Rhinolophus ferrumequinum: one gene and its partner. The protein of the gene in region 2 binds, or shares a complex with, the protein of the main gene of each other region. Links are inferred from orthologs where the notes say so. Each region holds a gene or a part of one and is shown on either strand. Other genes may lie near its edges.

The links.
Region 1: the proteins of TLR4 (region 2) and LY96 are in contact, whole or in part, in a crystal structure (PDB 4G8A), measured with the Homo sapiens proteins. The link is inferred for Rhinolophus ferrumequinum from reciprocal best matches to the Homo sapiens genes TLR4 and LY96. Residues at the interface, in NP_612564.1 of Homo sapiens: Gln39, Met41, Glu42, Asp60, Ser62, Phe63, Asp84, Ser86, Arg87, Thr110, Gly111, Val132, Val134, Glu135, Asn156, His159, Ser183, Ser184, Asp209, Leu212, Arg234, Val259, Glu262, Phe263, Arg264, Asn265, Glu266, Arg289, Ala291, Tyr292; in NP_056179.4 of Homo sapiens: Met40, Tyr42, Ile66, Pro67, Arg68, Arg96, Ser98, Asp99, Asp100, Asp101, Tyr102, Ser103, Phe104, Arg106, Leu108, Lys109, Gly110, Glu111, Thr112, Thr115, Thr116, Ile117.

Annotation. Positions count from the first base shown.
Region 1 is NC_046297.1:8,797,361-8,804,545, reverse strand, and holds the start of LY96 (lymphocyte antigen 96), read left to right. Parts: upstream 1-3,935; 5' UTR 3,936-4,039; coding exon 4,040-4,151; intron 4,152-7,185. UniProt on the Homo sapiens protein: Binds bacterial lipopolysaccharide (LPS). Cooperates with TLR4 in the innate immune response to bacterial lipopolysaccharide (LPS), and with TLR2 in the response to cell wall components from Gram-positive and Gram-negative bacteria.
Region 2 is NC_046295.1:68,786,198-68,793,592, reverse strand, and holds the start of TLR4 (toll-like receptor 4), read right to left. Parts: upstream 3,216-7,395; 5' UTR 2,946-3,215; coding exon 2,853-2,945; intron 1-2,852.

The DNA of each region.
Region 1 (7,185 bases), on a different chromosome or scaffold from region 2:
ATTTTAAAGTTTTCTTCTAAGGGTCATGTTCATCATAACTTGTTTAAAATGTCCTGTATCTGTGTGACCATTTTGTTGCCTGTGTAATGGAGTGAAAAACCTAATTTAATTAGAATAATTCTTCAGAAGACAACTTGGTTATTTAGGGAGAAGAAAAAAAGCTTAATTAAAAGACAAAGTGAGAAAAATGACTTCTCAAGGGCATAGAGGAGTGAGACCAGGATGCAGAAACAAATCAGCGTGCATAGGATAACATGATTCATCACTGAAATAAGTCAGCAGAAACAACTCAGGCCAAGGTAAGGAGGAGAAATAGAGGCACATCTGTCCATGCCATTTCTCTACCCTCACCCCAGGCAATGATCTTGGAAAGATAGGGAAGGTGATGAGTCTCCCACTATGTAGGGGACAGGCATTGAGTCACTTCTGAGTCTCAAAAGGCAGGGTGACCCTGGCTAACATCTGGGTTCCATCAGATAATATACCCTTAGACAATAAAATAATCCTTTTCCTCAATGTAGATCTTATTATACTGGAAGACTTCAGCTTTGGAAGCAAAAGTAACAAAATGGCCATTTGATAGGAATGATAGTCTTAGCTTGGAAACATTGTTAAGATTGTGTTCCTTGGGGGCGGCTGGATGGCTCAGTTGGTTAGAGCACCAGCTCTCAACAAGGTTGCCGGCTGCGCCCTCTGCAACTAGATTGAAGGACAACCACTTGATTTGGAGCTGATGGGCCCTGGAAAAACACACTGTTCCCTAATATTCCCCAATAAAAATTGTAAAAATTGTATTCTTTTTTCAGAACACTGTACTTTCATTGTAGCTTTTTATTGAGAATTCCAGACATTCAAAAGGATAAGAGTACAATGAAATAACATGACCAGTTTGTGGTCAATATTATTTCATCTAGACCCAAACCACTTGCCCTCTACTTTTATTTGGAAGCAAATCTCAAACATCATAACATTTCTTTCTTAACTGTTTAGTTTTATAACTATAAGGTAAGGACTTAAATAAAACATACCACTATGATATCTAAACTGCCTCCCTCCTAATGTTATCAAATATCTGTTCAAATATCTGATTTGAAAGTCTGTTCAAATATCTGATTATTTTATAATTACCCCCCACATTTTGGGAGGTTAAGACCTGAGTAAAATTCACATCTAACACCAATTTTTGAAATGTCTTTTAAGACTTCAAATTATGGATCCCTTCATTTTTTCGCTTTCCCCCCCCCTTGCAAATTATCTGTTGGAGAAACTGATTTGTTTGTCCTTTATGTGTTTTCATGGTCTAGATTTTCCGATTGTATCCCTGAGGTATCATTTAATGTGTTTCTTTGTCTTCTGTATTTCCTGCAAATCGATAGTTGCACTTGAGGCTTCATCCGGTTGAGGTTCGATGATTGTGGACAAGACTAACTCATAGATGATGTTGTTTGTAGTACCTGTTGTGTACCAAATTGCCCCTGAAACTCAGAGGTCAAAAACAACAACACATGGATAACATTGCGCAGTGTCTCTTGGTCAGGTGTTTGAGGTGACTCAGGTGAATGGTTCTGACTCAGGTGTCTCCTGAGGTTGCAGTCGAGAGAGCTGGTGCTGCTCTCATCTGAAGGCTAAACTGGGGCGGGAGGAACTGCTTCCAAGATGGCTCCCACACATGACTGACAAATTGGTGCTGGCTTTTTGGCAGGCGGTGTCAGTTTCTCACCACATGGATCTTTCTCTAGGGCTATTTGCTTCTCCCAGAGCAATTGATCCAGGAGAGCAAGATGGAAGCCACAATACCTTTTATGATCTACCTTGGAAGTCATACATTGCCATTGGGCAACATTTCATTAGTTCTACAGTCAACCTTATTCACTGTTGGACTACACGGGATTTGCCTACCAGGAAGTAAGGATCACTTGGAGGCTGGCTGCCATGGTGTTAAGAGGTACACGATGTCCTTCGGTCTCTGTGATGTTAGTTAGCAACCATTGATGCTCAATACCTTAGGTGTTGCAAAATGGTAACATCCTATTATTCTTTTCTCATAAATAGCTGAAATATTTCTAAAAGTAGAGGAAAGAGTATGAGAAGGCAAGGGGAAGTTGCCACTTTCTACGATTTGGTTACCGGTAGTTCAGTTTCTACAGGAAAGTCAAGATAAGTGCTTGATTCTTTCCCTTTTATTTACCAGTTTTCAAAATAGAGTTGGTTTCCTAGCATCTGCTGGTGATTAATTAGACTTAAAAAAAATTATTATGGGCCCATGGATTTAAATATCCTTGATGTATTTCCATGCCTTGCAGTTACTATCTTAATGTTCACGTGTACAGGTAGGCTGAAGTGGTCCCCACGGTGTTCAGGTCTGGAAGCTGCAAATGTTACATCATATGGCAAAGGGGGTTTTATAGACACATCTTGAGTTGGGAAGATTATCCGGGATTATCCAGATGGTTCCAGTGTAACCACAGGGTCCTTATAAGGGGAGGCGGGAGAGCAGAGGAGAAAGCAATGTGACGATGGAAGCAGCGATGGGAGTGCTGAACTTTGAAGATGGAGGAATGCAAGGATTGAAACTCGAAGCTGAGAAAGGCAAGGAAACTGGTTGTTCCCCTAGAGTCTCCAGAAGCAACCAACTCTGGCCACACCTACTGTAGCCCAGTGGCACTGATTTCAGACTTCTGATCCCCAGAGCTGTAAGTGAGCACTAGTGGATTGTTTTAAGCCACTAAGTTTGTGGTTATTTGTTACAGAAGCAATAAGCAACCCATCTTTGGTCAGTGGGACTATCTTCAAATTGATTCTCTAATGTGAGATGGTATTCCAGACTCATCTTGTACATTTTCTGCCCCAGACCCGGAATCAGCAGTTTCTCCAGTCTTTGTTCCTTGTAGTGGGAGATGGTATTTTGAGACCACTAGAGGCATTCACCTGGCTTTTCCTCCCTTCACCTCCACCCCCCACTTTCTAAACACATTTTTAAATTATGGGGAAAAAACATATAACAAAAATTTGCCATCTTAACTGTACAGTTAAGCACAGTTTAGTACAGTTCAGTATGGTGTTTGCTATATTTACATTGCTGTGTAACAGATCTCTAGATCTTTTTCATTTTGCAAACCTGAAACTCATATCCATTGACTAACTCCCCATGTCCCCACCCTCCCATGGATTTTTGCCTTTTAAAAAAGGGGAAAGTAGCACACTTCTTTAGTGAAACCTTTTACCAACATGTGATTATTTTCCTGTAAACTTAACAGATTTTGAGGCCCCAACTCCATGCCCTTTTTGGCTACGAATCCCAAACTACATCCTATAAAGAATTTCAAGTAACAAAGCATCTAAAGGATTCGCTGTTACTTTTTTACTAGAATGGAATGAAGAGTTTTGAAATACATGTCACACACAAAGCTGCGGCCATTTTATTATTAAGTTTCAAAATATTTCCTGGAGCTGTCGTTCGCTCGCTTGAGTAGGTGCATTTTCAAGTGTGGTGGGTCCCTGCCCACAATGCAGAACCGCAGTTAGCGTCCCATGTCTGGGGTGTCGTCCAGCCCGGCTCTGCCCCGTGGCTGAACCTGTGGTTTGCATACAACTATTCAGTGCAGATCTACACATCCAGCTCTCTGGGCCATGAGAAACTGTGGAAAGAGCCTGTGAGAGAGAATAGCAATGCAGATGGAAAAGCGGTGCCAGTCGGGTGGGATTCTGAAACAGACCTACACGCTGATTTTGTTACTGCTGACTGGGAAATCCCTTGTTTTATTGTTAAAGCTCTTGGTCTCTCATGTGCATCAAGTGTTGGAAAAGAGTGTCTTTGAAATCATTTTGTTTTCCTCTTGCAGGAAGTGCTCAAATATCACACACACACACACACACACATACATAAATACACGCAAAAGGGGAAACAGTTGGATCGGAACGTAGAAATCATGTGACTGATGACTCAGTTCAATCTTTTCTACTTACTGAAAAGGAAGTCTGATGATTTAGTTACTGACTGTCCTTGCATTGTTTTTTAAAGATTTGGAGATAGTAAATCATGTTCCCGTTTATGCTCTTTTCCACTCTGTTTTCTTCCATATTTACTGACCCTGGGGAGCAACACTGGGTCTGCAACTCCTCTGATGTGAGTGTGTGGTACACCTACTGTGGTAAGTAAAACAGCAACAAGTCTTCGCTTCAGCTATTGTGAGGGGGATTTTTCACAGGAACCTTACTCTCCTGTCGCTGGGACGCAGCAGGAAATGACTACTTGCAGCTGCCAGCAGGCTGCAAGACGGATGGCTGGACACCCCTGTGTGGGTTTTTTCGATTCTTCACAGACCTCACCAGCTCTAAAACCATTTTGTACTTGACCTGCAAGGGCCTCTGTTGTTCCCTATGCTCAGCTATCTCTGCCTTGTGCCCAGTTTCAGATTGTTCCGAGTTTCAGGGGAACTGTCTGCTTCTGAGCTTTTTTTGCTACTTCTTGACACAGAGGAACAATCCTCGCTGCCCCCTGGAATTGATGAGTGCTCCAAACTGTACTTTTGTTTTGTTTTGTTTTGTTTTGTTTTTCCAGCACAGTGTTGGGTGTATAAAGGGTGCTCTCTATGTGTTTCAGGCTTCATCTCCCTAATTGGATATAAGCCTGGTTCTATCCCTTACAGCTGTGTGACCTTGAGCAAAATACTTAGCTTCCATGTGCTCCAGGTTTTTTTTAATCTGTAAAATGAAAGTGGTTTTAGAACCTATGTTATAAGCATTGGGATGACGTAACATTTTCAGTACAGAGCTGCATAGAAACAGTCCTGAGTACTTCTTTTTTTTTTTTTTACATCAGCCTAATGATGCTATTAACTGGTTGTATTGCTGTCCGCCCACCCACCCCGACTCCACCACCTCCCCTCCCCCCCAAGCACAGTTTCAGGGCTTGACCACTGTTTCAGTTTGTTTTGGTTTGGTACTTCCCCCTGCCTTGCTCGCCTTGGGCTGGCTGGCCTTTTCTGCCCACTGCTGCTAGCAGCAAGGTTTAAAGGGACGCTTCCCAAAATATTAGTTCTTTGAGATTCTTTTGGGGAAAGGGATGTACGGTCTACGCATTTGGGGGGAATTTACAAATGTACTTTTGAGTTCTGAGTTCTGCAATGAAGAAACCGATTTAAGTCCCCAGATTTTCAATTGTATTGCATTTTATGTTTTGAGTGTGCGTTGACTGTCCTGAGAAACAACACAGTCCGGCAAATGCAAATAGAAAGTTACTTCTGCAGAATTAGAGTGATTGCCAACCTCACACTCGTGGCTTTTTTCACATACGTGGATTGTGCTGAATTCCCTCTCAGCTTACCTCTGAAATGTCTCCATCCTACGAAATCGCTGTCCATGGCTCCCTTCCAGGAAGGCTCCCCAGTCCCCTCGGCCCCCACTTCTCCCCTCTCCTTTCGCCCTTCTGCCCCACATGTCTTCTCTGTGCTGGGTTTCAGATGGCCTGCAGCTGTGCAACACTGTGTATTCTTATTAGCGTTTCACCTCTTAGTAACAATAATTTGATGTGTCTCTTGATTTGATTGTTGAGGGAGGATCTTGCCTCTTTCTAATGCTGAGAAATCCAGTGGTCCTTCCTTGCTGCCCACCTGCTGTCAAGACTACAGTGCCGCTCTACCTGCTGCCACTCCCTTCTCCACTTAAGGGAATCCTCGCGGAAAAAGCAGCTGCGCGGGAAGCACTGATTCCACTCGGTAGTGTCGTGAGGGTGTGGACGACAACCAACCCTGATTCAATCCTCTCTGTGCGAATGACTCCACTTGGCCAAGCTACTGGGTGTACGGTGTATTAGCCTGCTAGGGCTGCCATAGCAAAACACTACAGACTGGGCAGCGTGGACAACAGAAACTTAACTTCTCACAGTTCTGGAGGGTGGACGTCCAAGATCAAGGGTCAGCAGGTTAGGTTTCCTTCGGAGGCCTCTCTCCTTGGCTCGCTGTGTCTTCATCTCTTCCTATGGCCTTTTCTCTGTGTCATCCCTAAACAACCTAGTATATATATCTCACAACAATAGGTTCAGCTAATATCTCCCAGCAACAGGTTCAGCTAATATACATGACCGTATATGGATATTAGCTGAACCTGTTGTGGTAATCATTTTATAATATACAAGCGTACGTAAATCAAACCACCATGCCGTACGCCTTAAACTTATAGTAAAGTATGTCAATTATTTCTCAATAGAACTAGAAAAGTAGAGAAAAGAATCAGTTAAAAAGTCCCAAAATGGGGCAAGTGATTTTATAAAAATATATTTGGGGGAGTCCCCCCCCCACAAACACAGTTTAAAGTAATTTAGTACCTTCGACACCCACTGTAACAATATAAGGACATTAAAACACTCATCTATTTGCATGAGGGGGAGATTTCCTTTCGATATTCGTACAACATTTTCTATTTTACTTTGCTGGGGCAAGAACCCCTTATATGAGCTCTACCCTCTTCAACTTCTAAGTGTATAACAGATTTGTTGACGATAGGCGCAGGGCCATTCAGCAGATCTCTAGAGCTCATTCATCTTGCTTGACTGAAACTTTATGCCCATTGATGACAACTCCCCATTTCCCTCCCCCCAGCCCCTGGCAGCCACCATTCCACTCTGGCTCTATGAATTTGACTATTTTAGACACGTCACGTAAGTGGAATCATGCAGTATTTGTCCTTATGTGACTGGCTTGTTTTTATCACAAAAGGGTGTTGAATTTCATCAAATACTTTTTCTACATCTATTGAGATGAGGATGTGATTTTATTTTTTTTAATCCTTCATGTTATTAATGCACATTAATTGATTTTCATATGTGGAACTCTCCTTGTGTCTGAAGGAAAAATCCCACTTGGTCACGGTGTATAATTATTTTAATGTGTTGTTGAATTCATCTTGTTAGTATTTTGTTTAGGATTTTTGCATCTATATTTATCAGGGATATTGGCCAGCAGTTTTCTTTCCTGGTTGTGTCTTTGTCTGACTTTGGTGGCAAGGTAATGCTGGGCTAAAGAAATGGGTTTGGAAGTGTTTCCTCCTCTTCAATTTTTTGAAAGAATTTGAGAAGAGTTGGGGTTAATTCTTATTTAAATGTTTGGTAGAATTCACCTGTGAAGGAATCTGGTCCTGGGTTATTTTTTTGTTGGGAAATTTTTGATCACTTATTCAATCTCCATA
Region 2 (7,395 bases):
CCAATAAGTCTAGTACCCATCTGACACCATACAGAGTTATTACAATATTATTGACTCTCTTCCCTTTGCTGTGCTTTATTTACATTCCCGTGACTGCTACCCTTAATGAGAGCCTCACAGACTCACAGACGGTACTGTCTAAGAGAGGACGGTGCCATGCACTCTTCTTTTATCCTCTTTCACAGGAGGCATCACCAGCTAACATTACATTGTCCGTGTGATGGTTCCATGTGTATCGTTTCTCTCCCTCCCTAGATTGTCAGCTTGGACGGTCTCGCTCTCTGCTATGTCTCCAGCACTCAGAATAGAGCTGGGCAGATAGTCAATACTTAATAAAGATTTGTGGAATAAATAGATGAATAACTGATTGAATGGAGGTTTGTTTCAATCCAGATTGTAGGCACTTTCTGTTTAGTGTTTTGGGCAGTACAAAGACCAGCGTGATATTGCTCCAGACTTCAGTGAGCTCACAATCCAGAGCAAGGGTTAAGGCAGGAGCATAACTCACACTACTGAAAAGAGCCATAAATATATTTCCTGTGGTTCAGGAAAGGTGGAGATCAATTCTGGATCCAGGGATGGTAAACGGCTTTTAAGAAAGAGATTTTTTAAGGTGGTTCTTGAAGGATGCACAAGATTTGGATACATGGAAAGAGGAAAAAGATGAGTGTGAGTAAGAAGGAGTGCAAAACTAGTTTAGATTAGCTGGCATATGGAGGGAGTGGTGAAACCCTAAGCCAGAGAAGGCAAGGCCTCATACTTTGTCCTCTGGCAATATTGTTTATTGTTTGACATATATAAATTGAGCAACTACTATGTGCTAAGCACTGAGATATGGTGATAAAAAGACAATGATTTTGCCCTCTTACAGATCCATTTCAAAGGGAAAGACAATGAACAAATATATATATATATATATATATATATATATATATATATATATATATATATATAGTGATGTGCTATCAAAATAAAGCAGTGTAAAAGATTCGAGGCAAATATGGGGATGGATATATAGAGATTCGAGGTAAATAATGGGGTGACAGTGAGGAACTCTATATGAGGTGATCAAGGAAGACGTCTGGAGGAGGTAATATTTAAGCAGAGATCTGAATGCAGTGAGGGATGAAAATATTTCATCAAATATATCAAAATATCTCATTAAGCCATGAAAATATCTAGGACAAGGCTACTGAGCATGAGAAATGTGGATAGTCTAAACTGCGGTGTATGGTTTATGTACACACACACACACACACACACACACACACACACACACACATTCAAGCCTTAGTACCAAAGAAGGAGTCTAAAATATCTTATTAATAATTCTGTATATATTACATTTTGAATATTTCAAATATACTAGGTTAAATAAAAATGTTATTGAAATTAAATTCACCTGTTTCTTTTTATTTTTAATGTGTCTACTAATTAGTTAAAACTTAGTTAAATATAGATACTTCAATTTATTATTGAAGTTTACATATCGTGTGGGGAAAGCATTATAGCTAGAGGAAATAGCCAGTACAAAAGTCCTGCCGTAGGAAACAGTTCTGGTAGCTGTGGAGCATTATTATGTTTTGAAATCAGGTGATTTGTTAGAACCCAGCCTCAGGTTAAAACACAACAACAAACAAAAATGCGCAGAGTGGATTAGAGGAAAGGTGATATGGAGTCAGGAGACCAGTCACCATCCAAGAGTCCAGGCCAGGGGAACTAAGGACTTGCGCTAGATTGACACTGAGGGGGATGGGCAGACTTTGGAGACTGGGACATGAGGAAAGGGAGGGCCAGCAGCGGGTGTGATTTTATCCAGGGGTGACACTGATTGAAGGATCTCTCTTCATTAATCTTAAAGCAGGGCAGTTACAGAGAGGAGGAAAAGGACTAGGGCTGTGGGCAGGGAATCGGAGGAAGAGAGGTCCCTGAAGTAACAACTTCATCTCTGTTATATGTGAAAGTCCACTATTCCCTTTCTGAAATTCGCTCAATTTCAGAACTCACGCGGATTACGTTTTTGTTGAGTTTCTGACCCTGCCACACCCTAAATCCCAGGACACTCTCTTGGATCTTTGGTTCTATCGTGGGCTTCCAAAGCAATTGTGAAGTCCATGCAGGGGAAAAACAAAAAGAGATCCATCATGAATGAGTTTACAAACCAGATGTTTGGTGTTTCACAAAGAAAGACACCATTGCATTAACTGACATTTTATGCCATTCTTTTTCTTTTCCCCGCTCCTCTCTGTATTTTCCTCTCTTTGTCTTTTTCTATTTCTCTGTCTCTCTGTCTCTCTCTTTTTTCTCTCCAGTATCTTTTCTTTTCATCCTTTGGAGAGAACTATGACTAGATTCAGAAGTCTGGAATACTTTTAGAAAGTTCTTTCTATTAAGAGGCAAGAAAACATCTTTTTGCTGAAATTCAAAGGGGCAAAGTGACTGCTTGAAGCTGAGTGTACAGACAACCGTGGAAAGGAATGACAGGAAGCAGCCTTTTCACAAACTCTCTATTGAAGTAGACATTATTATAATTCTTTTATAGATGTGAGAACCCGTCTCAGAGAGGTTTGATAACTTTTTCAAGGTCACACAGCCCAGAAGCCTAAGAACAGTGATTTTAAGCGGGTCTATTGAACCTAAAGTCCTACATGTGACGCGGTCCGATGGGCTGCCTGTTAGTGCCTGGTAACCATGAATTATTTGTCCCTGTGGCTTCTCAAGGCTTTAAGGTAATTTGACTCTGTTTTGCACACAAAGCTAACCAAAGCCAGCAGTGGGAAACTCTGGGCAGAAGGAAGTTTTTCAGAAGCAAAACAAAGCACGCAGGCCATGAACTCACCCCGAACACATACCTGCATACAAGGATCCCAGCTCTCGGGCCTCAGGCAGGAGAGGAAGGCCATGGCTGGGATCAGAGTCCCAGCCAGGCGGGTGGGCGGCATCATCCCGGCATTTTCTGGGACTAGAAATGCACCTGTGAGAGCATGCTAGGCTGTAACCGCCTGCCGGGCAGACTCTGAGGCACTGCTGTCCTCTTTCCCTTGCTCCGGTGCCCCAAGGCAATTACTGTATTCAAAACAGAGCTGGGTTAAGGGGCAAGAGAGGAAGTGAAAGTGGCAAGCTTCGCATTCTGGACTTTTGTTTCGCTGATAATTACCTCCCCTTTCTCAGGAGGGGAAGTTAGAAGAAGAAGAAAATGTCTGCATACCAGTGGCTGGAGTCACCACAAGAAGAAGCTGGCTTTTATCCCAGTAAATCATATGACCTCAGTGTTAGTGAACTTAGGGAAATAATCTGATTGGTCACTCTGTGTAACTATCTAGGATGATGGTTTTCCAGTATTGTTTTAGTTGTGGAAACACCGTTGTAGGAGTTTCCTAGGGCTGTCATAACAAAGTACCACAAAGTGGGTGGTTTAAACAACAGAAATTTATTTTTTCACAAAGATCCGGAGGCTGCAAATCTGAGATCAAGGTGTCAGCAGGTTTTATTTCTCTCCAGGCTCCTCCTTGGCTTGTAGGCACCCATCTGCTCCATCTGCCTGTGTGTCAGTATCCTAATCCCCTCTTCTTATAAGGACAGCAGTCATATGGGATTAAGGCCCACCCAGATGACTTCATTTTACTTCAATTTCCTTTTTAAAGACGCTTTCTCAAAATACAGTCACATTCTGAGGTCAGGGGTTAGGTCATCAACATCCATAGTTCCATCCATCCTACTAAAATCATGGGAAGAAACTCACATTTATGAAACTGATTAAAAATGAAGTTCCAGTGAAACACAGTTTGAAAAGTACAGGAATGGTAGGAAAAGATTGAGACGAAAAATCAAATATACTACAATTCAAATTCAGGCTGGGAGATTTAACTTATGGCCTTGTGGCATTGGTCAAGTCACTTAATTACCGAGCCTTAATTTCTGGTCTGAACAATGGAGTAAAAGCTTTAATAACAATGGAAGCTGGCATGCATGAGATTCATAGAAATCAAGTCATGTGACAGTAGTCAAATGATATAAGCCACTGAGCCTTAATTTTCTGGTCTTTAAAATGGAGACCACATTTGTCTTGCATGATCGAATTGAATTAATTTACATCAAACTCCTAGTTTAGTGCATGGTTCCTCTGTATGTATATTCCATACGTTGGTAGCTATAGTGATAATTGAAAATCTGAATGAAATGGGGATAATAATATGTACCTCAAAGAATTGTCACAGGACTAAATAAACTGGTATCTGTGAAGCTCTTAGGACAGTATCTGCAATGCTGCAAGTGTTCCTGTTAAATAAGAACATAGTACAAAAGGGGGATATTATTGGCATGGTACCTAGATATTGCTATCAAGATGCTGTGCAGGCACCACAGATCCAAAATACACGAAATCAAGTTGCGAGGGAGCATGTGATAGGACCTGAGCGCAAACACTTGCAGACTTCTTTAACATAGCTCTAAAATTAAGCCAAAAATAGGCCCCCTGTCAAAACTGCGCTCTGAGTATTGGGACTATGTCAAGGTCTTAGCCAAGTGCCTGGCACATAGTAGGTGCTCAATAAAGTTTAGTTCCCTGGAGAGTTAATAGCATGCCACGGCTACGTACTCACCCAAAATGGATATCTCCTTGGCTTCCGCATTTCTCTCATCAAAAGTATATCAACTATATTTTGTTATTTTTTTCCTGTATTCTTGATGCTCTGGCAGGGGGTCTTGCTGAGGATAGAGTGCCCTTCCCAGGGCTAGCCAATCCTTAGAGATAGCCGATGATTTGCCCTGGAGCTCACCTTTCATATGCAAACTAACCAATCCAAAGCCCATTGCTAAACCCCCTCTTCTATCAGGCTTTTATACTTTAGGAGGCTGTATTCTTTTGCCCTTATCATCACCAGGCCAGCTACCAGACAACTAGAGAAAAGCCCAGTACCCCAGAGCCTGCTAAAATTATTCAAACTAGCCAATCTCAAGTCTGCTTCCCCTGCCTTTCCTCGCCTTTCCCTCAGAAACCACAGTACAGGATTCTGCCTATGTTTTGCCCTCACTTCTTCTGCCTCCCGAGGAACCCTGGTGCTTCTCCATGTGGCCCTGCATGGGGTGGTATGCCCCCTCCTCTTGGAAACTGTGAGCAACAGACTATCTTTTCAATGACAGTCTTCCTGATCTGTTGGTCTCCCCACACCTGAGTTAAGAAATACTACATTTTAAAACAAAACATTCTACCAAGTCCTAGAAATTTTATCTATAAAATAATTCGAATTTTTCCATCTATTGGACAATTGTCCAATAATAATTGTCCAATTATTATTACACACCTGGGCCTAGATTAGTGCAATACCAGACTCACCTCTTCTAATGTAGCAACTCTATCGATCCATCCTTTATCCTGAAATCAAAGCAATCTTTCTAAAATTGCAAATAGAATCACCACGTGCCATGTTCATAGTATTCTGAGGCTGTGAATTACTCAGACCTCGAGGCTCTAGGTCCCCTATGTACACACACACACACACACACACACACACACACACACACACACACCACTCCACATCCTGAGAAGAGTAAATGTGTGTTATTTCAGCAAGACATAGCTAAACCTGTTATTAGGACACAGCACTTAAATAAATAGAGTAATATAAGATCATCTTCCTGTCATTGGAGAGAAAACCCTTTAATGGTCAAGATGAGGCCTGAGAGAAAGGGTTCAACATGGTCTTCTAGACTATGTTTCATGAGATGTTAATACATGTAACATACAGAACTCTTCCTGGAAAATTCTATCTGTGACTAGAGAATTCAGGACCGTCCCTTGTAAAGGTGTTTCCCTTTCATGGGAGTACCACTGACAGTCATCAAAGATATCTCGATTCTGTGTTCCTCTTCCAAAAGACAGGCTACACATCAACTACAAAAGAGAAGTTATTCCCTCGGTTAGCAAATCTTAACTTGCTTTTGTTGATGGACACAGCTCTGACTGCAGTGTTACAATGAAATAAGACGTGGTGATTAGCCACCATCCTGGGCCCATAATTTTCACTGCAGCACAGTAATAATTACACCTTGGGCACAGTACTAGAGACTTGGCCAGGTGCATGGGAAGTAACTTGGTTTTCCAACCCCTTCATGTGCAGCCAGGTCAACTCGGGACCTGTAATCCTCAGGCAGTGGAGGAATCCCCTCTTCACCAGCATTCTGGAAGACGTGTTCAATATTATTTGGCAGGTACTGCATATTCAGTAAGAAATAATGAAAGAACAATGCTGACCTGTGTTAGGTTAAGCTAAGTGCTGGCTCAACCTCCAAATTTTAGTTACTTAACAATACAAAAATGTATTTCTTGCTCATGAAATTCTCAATGAGGATATTCCTGATTGGAGGTATTCCAAGAATAATTCATGGATCTAGGCTCCTTTAATTTCATTACGCCGAATCTGATTCCATCCAATAGTTATGCTTCCATATTCAGCATGTAGCCTCCAAGTTTTCTCCAGATTTTGAGATGAGTGTGCTGAAGACCCATAGATACTAACTACCTCTGTTGAGAAGTGACATGTATCATTTCTGCTCTCACTTCATTGGCCTAAACTAGTCCCAAGGCCATACCCAGTTGCAAGGGCTCTCTTTCTCCTGAGCTTTAAGCCTGTTACCCTCACTCAAAACTCACACACACACACACACACACACACACACACACACACACACACACACACACTGTCACTGATGGTACTGCCCCACAGCACCAGTTATATTCTACACTATGAAAGGAAACACAAATCTCTGTTTTTCAGTGGGTTATCTGTGCTACAACTTTAGCATCCTGTAATATCTATTTCAAGGTGATTAAAAGAAAATTGCAAGTGAACAATAACAACATAGTCTAGCTCAGAGAAGAAAGGTCCCCATAGTTCGACATATTTAAGAACTGAATCTGATTCTAATCAACAATTTTAAGTTTCACATTTTTCACATGTAACCTCTCTCAAATCATAACGTGTCTCATAGACAACATATTACAATTATATTTGGCCGGGTTTTTTTTTTTTTTTTCTTTCATAGTGGCAAATGAAGTAACGCTACATCTTACAATCAATGGTATGTTATAGTCAATGAAGAACAGCTTGTCAGTAAGAGGATAAAGACACATAGGCTTTGTTCAAGCAAATAAAGGAAACAAATGGTTGAACAGAGAATAAAGAGATTTGTTTCCCAAGGTCACCTCAGAAAATGTACTAGACTAGTGTGTATTTTGCATCTACAAAAGGAAATATAGTGAGTGCTCAGTGTTTCCTAACGTTTTTGACCCGTGTACCTCTCTTTTCTCCGTGGATACCCATTACCAGTTGTATTCATGAATGTCCCATGGGCCAGCATTCCAGTGACCTATAGTATAGAGGTGCTGCTCTGAAG